Mytilus edulis: one gene and its partner. Each later gene encodes a partner of the first gene's protein in a complex. Links are inferred from orthologs where the notes say so. Each region holds a gene or a part of one and is shown on either strand. Other genes may lie near its edges. The genes, in order: beta-galactosidase-like and lysosomal protective protein-like.

What was found.
Region 2: the proteins of beta-galactosidase-like (region 1) and lysosomal protective protein-like are in contact, whole or in part, in a cryo-EM structure (PDB 7KDV), measured with the Mus musculus proteins. The link is inferred for Mytilus edulis from reciprocal best matches to the Homo sapiens genes GLB1 and CTSA. Residues at the interface, in NP_033882.1 of Mus musculus: Tyr198, Asp199, Arg202, His206, Leu229, Thr233, Leu234, Gln235, Asp236, Leu237, Lys258, Phe259, Glu260; in NP_001033581.1 of Mus musculus: Glu29, Asp31, Ala37, Lys38, Gln39, Pro40, Ser41, Phe42, Arg43, Tyr107.

What each region holds. Positions count from the first base shown.
Region 1 is NC_092345.1:94,141,001-94,144,936, forward strand, and holds the start of beta-galactosidase-like, read left to right. Parts: upstream 1-1,089; 5' UTR 1,090-1,116; coding exon 1,117-1,185; intron 1,186-3,109; coding exon 3,110-3,273; intron 3,274-3,685; coding exon 3,686-3,836; intron 3,837-3,936.
Region 2 is NC_092348.1:35,176,882-35,180,817, reverse strand, and holds the start of lysosomal protective protein-like, read left to right. Parts: upstream 1-1,209; 5' UTR 1,210-1,224; coding exon 1,225-1,275; intron 1,276-1,410; coding exon 1,411-1,586; intron 1,587-2,004; coding exon 2,005-2,116; intron 2,117-3,936. UniProt on the Homo sapiens protein: Protective protein appears to be essential for both the activity of beta-galactosidase and neuraminidase, it associates with these enzymes and exerts a protective function necessary for their stability and activity.

The DNA of each region.
Region 1 (3,936 bases):
TTATCCTACATGAGCACATGCAGAAGTTTGACCTGGCCTGTTTTGGCTGAGATTTGTGTTGTTCAATATTACGGTCTTTTGTATTGTGTTTCGTTTTCTGTTATTTGTCTTTTCGTCGTATTTTCAGTCTTTTAATTTTGGTCATATTGTGCATCTGGGATATAAGACATATAATATTCTGTTGTTTTTTTTTGTACAAACCTATAGGATCTGATTTACATACATATAGGCCTACTTGAAGTAAACTATTCTCTTGTACACTTGGACACATAACTTTGTTGTAAAAAAATATGCATCTGTAATCCAAAGTGTTGACATTGTAGACAAAATCCGACAAGGTTGCATGTGTCAGAACACACTTTAAAGATTGAAAAGGGAAGATATCAGGGCAATCCTCGACACGAAATAGCTTGTCATAGATGCTTAGGTCTGAGGTTGAGATGGTTTTACTTCTTCTTTTTTTACCTCAATAAATAATTAGAGAAGCAAACAATTACAAATTTGTCCCAGGAAATGATATCCAACTTTGACATTTTAACTATTAAGGATCTATGATTTTTGTTGTTGATTTTTTTCTCCCTCAGAGCATTGGGACAAGTTGTACTAGAGGCTGCATATAAATCCAAGTAATGTTTGCGCTTATTTTTTTATTTCAACAATGTTTTTTGAGAGCCTGTATTTAGGCAACAGCTGCTTATCAGGACTAGATCATAAGTTTTTGAACATAAGTTTAAAGATGTATTGTAAAGTGCTTTAAACAATATCCGGCTTCGGTTTAGTTGCTTGAGTGTCCTTTAAGCAACTACAATATTTGTGCATATACACTAGCCTTGCGGAGGACTTCGCATTGCAACAGGTTAATATCACAGTTCCAGATCACCACTGATTCATATATATTTATATGAAAATTAGGGAATATAAAAAGCTGTTTTACTTTATATATTTATATATCTATATCAAATACAGGGACGAATTGTCAATAGGGTAGAATTGTCAATGCAGTAATAGGATATCGGTACACTTATATTAAATATTGGGTACGAATTGGTAAAGGTACGAGTTAACGTGTAACCAAGTCATATGATCTAATCACATGACTTCAACAAAACATTGAAAATGGCGACTTACATGTTTCGTCCAACTTTCACTTTCGTCTTTTTATTTATGATCATACATGCACTAAAGGTATTTGTTACACAAGTTAACTTATATTTTGGTTCAAAACATTTAAAATTTTAGATTAGTGTTCTCAAACATCTTTCAGAGGAGTGAAAACAAATTTTAATCAAATCAAATCAATACTCAATCTAACAAAATTCATGATCATTCATATATCAAATCAAATCAAATTTTTGGACCAAAGAGCCAGTGTGAGCTAATATGAGGCAGGCACTACCTGTAAATGGGGACGAAGTCTGTATGAATTATTTTTTTGTAACTTAAATATTTTGTTTAAAAAAAAAGAAACGGAAATACCGTAATGTTTCCGATTTTGGTTCTGTTGTAAGGGATTTAGTTGTGACGTCATTTAAATTATGACGTCATATGCAATGTAAACAAAGAAACGCTATCATCAGGTAACGTTTTTTCATATCAAGGAATTATTAAAAATGAAATTGGTATTGCACGTTCCTTCCTATTTTATACTAGACTGATAAATATATATTTTACTCAAAGTTTCATACAAACGAGACCGGAAAAAGGAAGTACATTGTACATTTCTGCGCAGGTCCAGGATTTCAAAACACGACAAAAAAAATTTGAACGATTTTGAGTTCATTAGTACAATGAAAAATTCGGGAAATTTTCCCGTATTTTTTTTTTATTGAATTTTCTACTGTTATTGGGGACTCCGTCCCCATATTAATTCAATAATTGTCATCAATTGTCATTGTCCTTGTCTGACAACAATTACAAATATCTTGCAAATAATTGATAGTTTTTATACAACTGCAAATTTTTTTGTGATCATATATTGGTATCACGTACATGACGTAGTCGTCCTCGTCCTCGTCGTCTGAAGACATTTGGTTTCCGGACAATAACTTTAGTATAAGTAAATAGAAATCTCTGAAATTTAAACACAAGGTTAATTATATCCACAAAAAGAAAGTTTGGATTGATTTTTGGGGTTATGCCTTATTGTCCCAACAATTTAGGAATTAAGAGGCCCAAATATGCTTTTTTCTAGTTCCAGACAATAAATTGTGTTGAAGTGTATGGATCTCTCTGAAATAATACCTCAAGTTTCCAGACTACAAACGGATGGTTAAGATTGGGTTTGGGGGGTTATGGTTCAAACTGTATATGAATTAGGGGCAAAAAAGGGGGAAAACAAGGGTTTCCTGGTTAATTGAGAATTAAGACAATTTTTGGATTACCTCCCTAACACTGCATTTAAATTATGTACAAAGAAATGTATTGTTTTGAGGTGATTAGCTGTCAATTTACTTTAAGAATTATGCTGATTAAGGAATATTAATATCAATGTTAATACTTTTATGATGTATTTAATGGGTAATTATGGTTGCAAACTCAAATGGAAATTTGAATTGAGATTATAACATTACTCGAGGGAAAGGAAAAGGGTGGGGGAGGTGAAAAAAATTGGGGGGGGGGGGGGGGGGGGGGAGAGAAGTTGTAGGGGCAATTTTTTTCAATTCAGATTTCAGAAATTTAAATGAAAATTTCTTCATATTTTTTTTTGTGCAAATATGCAACATCATAGTGTATTGCATAAAATTAAAAAAAAAAGTTTTTTTTAATTTTTATTTGAGAGGGGAGGAAAATTCACAACAGCATAGTGTATTGCACAAAAGCAAAAAATTGAGTATAAATTCAAATCATATTCATTAAATCAATTCAAGTTCTTCGACTTTATTCTGTGTCAGAAACCTATTATGTGTCAAATTTTTAATTACAATCCAAATTCAGACCTGTATCAAGCGTTAAATATTGTGTCCATTTTTGCCCCAACTGTTCAGGGTTGGACCCCTGCAGTCGTATCCAGCTGCACTCGGCAAAGCAATTTATTAACTGTAATGAATAGAATGAAATAACATCCACACTGTTATGAATTAGATTCTAATTAATTTTCCATTATATTCAGGCAAACAGAACGTTTACAATTGATTATGATAATGACATGTTCCGTATGGATGGCAAACCTTTCCGTTATATATCTGGCAGTATACATTATAGCAGGATACCTTCATATTACTGGAAAGACAGATTACAGAAAATGAAAGCTGCTGGCTTAAATGCTGTTCAAGTGTAGGTAGTCCATTAGACTTACATGACTTCAGGATGAATTTTTCTAAAATAAATATTAATACCAAAATGATCTATTTAATCTATACACAAGTATAAACTATGCTGACAGTCATCATCTATTATTACATTTTGTACTTACTGTATTACAAATTGAATCATCAGTTCAGCTCTGCTTTACATTGAAGATTAGGACAGGATGTCAGAATTAATGATTCCTTTTCATATTCAAACTATCTTGCAAACATCTTGGTACAATTAATTTAAGCAGTATCTATATTATAAACCAAAAAAATGTACAAATCCCCCCTCCTAAAGAATGAGTTGGTTTTCTGTAGATGATAATAGAATTTAAGCAAATTAAATGATACACATTTCTAGAAAAGAAATTTAAATGGGTTTTTTTAATTTCTAGATATGTACCTTGGAATTTCCATGAGATGGAGGAGAATGAATTGAATTTTGAAGGTGACAAAGATTTAGTTGGATTCATTAAGCAGGCACAGGAAGTTGACTTGTTTGTTGTACTTAGAGCAGGGCCATATATCTGTGGAGAATGGGACTTTGTAAGTTATTGTACTTTGAGCTGGATCTTTTTTTCTGATCAGAAAATCATTTTAAGATAAAGATATCAATCAATATATTTTAAAGAGGTCACATGGGTTT
Region 2 (3,936 bases), on another chromosome or scaffold:
CTGCACAGATACATGTACATTTACTGTGGATTCATTATTTTTCGTTGGATACCAAATTTCATTGATTTCGTGGGAACAGGTGAACCACAAAATAAAATGTTCAACGAATACAAAATTTTCTATAGGCTTGTACCGGTATGCATACTTCAGAAAAACCACAAAATCAAATATCCACAAACATGTAAGTTTTTTCCTCAATCCACGAAAATTGGTACCCACGAAAATAAATGAATCCACAGTGGAACATTTAAATACGAAGTAAGAGATGAATTTTGATCTCTTTTGCAGGGTTCTTATATTTTATATCAACCCTATTTTAAAACAGTTCCAGACTTTGCATAGAAATTTTTCAACCAGAAATAAGTTAACAGATGTATAAATATTCAATTTCTATTCCACACAGCTCATATATGTACTGGTATGAAAGTATGTTCTGGTGTCCATAACCTTGTAGATATGAATCTTTTGCTTAAGGTTTCTTTTATATCTCTTAATAGAACTATATACATGTAGCTAATGGCTGCTCAATTCAGACTATGAATCACATAAGCAACACGACAGGTGCCACATGTGGAGCAGGATCTGCTTACCCTTCCGGAGCACCTGAGATCACTCCTAGTTTTTTGGTGGAGTTCGTGTTGTTTATTCTTTAGTTTTCTATGTTGTGTCATGTGTGCTGTTGTTTGTTTGTCTTTTTCATTTTTAGCCATGGTGTCAGTTTGTTTTAGATTTATGAGTTTGACTGTCCCTTTGGTCTCTTTCGTCCCTCTTTAATAAGAGTCCTACAGTGCTGTGACTGTATTGAAGGATTTATATTTTACTATTCGAAAGTGTTAAATTCCTATCTTTTGAGTACAATATGTATATGTACTTTTCTCATTTGGAGTTATTGTAAGATTTGCTTTGAACTACATGTAGCTCCATATGTCAGATACAGATATACAGATTAAAGTTTATATGATTTTTAGCTAAAATGACAACTATTGTTCTTATTTTGTAATAAGAAGAAGAACACAAAAAATATACTTGTATATCAAATTTATCTTTGAAAAAGAGGTCAATTTTTATCATTTGCATTATTAGTAAGTCATTGTAAGTTGAAAATGTAACATGTTTATCAGTCACCTGGTAAGATTGTGTAAGATATAAACTTATGATTCCACATGACCAAGGTGTTAATATTTATTTATTTGACCTAATTTATCTAAAGGGCAAGACAGACACATGGTCTGTCATGGGAGGACAGACATCAGACCATGTTTGTCTTTCATCTCAGTATGTCCTTAAAAGTACTGTATATATATATACTTGTTCACTCATATCAGCTAGATCTATCCCCATAGACACATCTTTCCTGCTACTGTGATAGTTATTATTCAGCACATGTAAAAGAAAACAATTTTTTTTCAGATCACAAACATGTGGACTACAGTACTAGTGTTGACAATTTGTTTGATACTTCATATGAGTTATGGAGCACCACCTGCAGAGGAAATTAAATATATGCCAGGACTACACAAGCAGCCATATTGGAAACAGTATTCTGGGTATTTGAATGCTACTGGAACAAAACAGTTACATTACTGGTAAGTACATTGTATAAAAACAAAATAATCATAGTTTTATAGAAAATTGAATATAATGATTCTTACTATTTGTAGCATCAGCATGATCAGTTTCTCAATTATTTCTAAGTTCCCTGTATCTGAGATGAAAATAAGAGCTAGCATGCCAAAAAAGTATATTGTCTGTTAAATTTAACTTTATACTCAAATTGTTTTACATCAGAGGATATGGTTTATATTGGTAAACTAGTTACATTTCAGCATGCTCAGTGTCATCTGAATGTAGTTTACTTTAATTTTTTCACCTGATCAATTTTGTTTTTCACAACTTGACACTATTTGAATGAATACGGATGATACGATACAATTTAAATGCAACAAAAAGAGTATATATATATAGCATATATAGTGAATAAGATATCGTCTTTATCTTTTCTAGGTTTGTACAGTCAGCCAATAAACCATCAGAAGATCCTCTGGTTCTGTGGATGAATGGGGGACCAGGATGTAGTTCTGATTTAGGTTTACTCTCAGAACATGGACCTTTTAGGGTAAATTAACTTATACTGCATGTTTAAAATTGATATGCATTGTAGGCAGTTGCATAAGTGATAATTCATTTGCGTTCTAAGTTCTAATTTGAAAAGTAATTCCAGTTTACCATTACCTTTGAATGACGAAAAAGGATGTTTTTTATCCATATAAATTGTTAGTATGATTTTAAAATTCAGTACAAAATCACATATTTTTTGTGTTAACAATAATGACATGTCTTAAAAAAAAAAATCATTAACTTAGTTTCTTTAAGTAGCCATATTTGAACATAAAAAATGCCATTAAAAAAAATGTTTAGTTGTATTAATAAAAATAATCCCACTATTAAAGCAGTACCGTTTCCTGAAAACAGGCAAAATTTGGAAATCAGTCATGTCTATCAAATGATCTGTAAATCTCATTCTAGTCTATCTATATGAATGTTTTCTTATTATTTGGATACTGTGAAGCGAGAAGAGTATTCTTATCTATTATTTTTATTTTTTCCTTCTGTTTGATTGGACCACATTCAATAGTTTACCCCTCCCCCTTTTTAGCTCACCTGGCCCGAAGGGCAAATCTGACTGGGGTTAAATTGTTTATCAGGTCAAGATCTATCTGCCCTGAAATTTTCAGATGGATCAGACAATCTGTTGTTAGGTTGCTGCCCCTGAATTGGTAATTTTAAGGAAATTTTGCTGTTTTTTGTTATTATCTTGAATATTATTATAGATAAAAATAAACTGTAAACAGCAATAATGTACAGCAAAGTAAGACCTAAAAATAAGTCAACATGACCAAAATGGTCAATTGACCCCCTAAGGAGTTATTGTCCTTTATAGTCAAATTTTAACAATTTTCATAAAACTTGTAAATTTTTACTAACATTTTCCACTGAAACTACTGGGCCAAGGTCATTATCGATAGAAATAATTGTAAGCAGCTAGAATGTTCAGTAAAGTAAGATGTAGAAACACATCACCATCACCAAAAATTGTCATGAATCCATCTGCGTCCTTTGTTTGATATTCACATAGACCAAGGTGAGCGACACAGGCTCTTTAGAGCCTCTAGTTTACCATTGAATCTACCCAAGTGGGCCTCTTGTTTAAGTCAAATTGAAAAACTACCCAAAACTTTTTCATATTGAAGAATTTGCTACAATACAACAATCTAAAGACAAGAAAGACCACACCTTTCTCTTTATTGACTATACAGGTCTTTATACATGCCTACTATATCATGATTTTTAGACTGTACTTGACACCCCAATGAATATACAATTTGCAATAAAAATAAAAAAAACACAAAATGAATACATAAGTTGGTGTTTTTGGTAAGAATATTGATTACTTGTCACACCTAATCACAAAAATCCTTGTCATGATGGATAGTTTTAGAAAAATTCTACTTTTTAAACGAATTTTTAACCCAAATATGGAATTTTCAATTAACCATGCAGTGCCTCAGACAGGAAAAGAAGTATAGACTCATGCAAAGTGAACATTTTATGAAAAGTTCATTTTTAGCTCACCTGGCCCAAAGGGCCAAGTGAGCTTTTCTCATCACTTTGCGTCCGGCGTCCGTCGTCCGGCGTCCGGCGTCCGTCGTCCGTCGTCGTCCGGCGTTAGCTTTTACAAAAATCTTCTCCTCTGAAACTACTGGGCCAAATCAAACCAAACTTGGCCACAATCATTATTGGGGTATCTAGTTTAAAAAATGTGTGGCGTGACCCGGTCAACCAACCAAGATGGCCGCCACGGCTAAAAATAGAACATAGGGGTAAAATGCAGTTTTTGGCTTATAACTCAAAAACCAAAGCATTTAGAGCAAATCT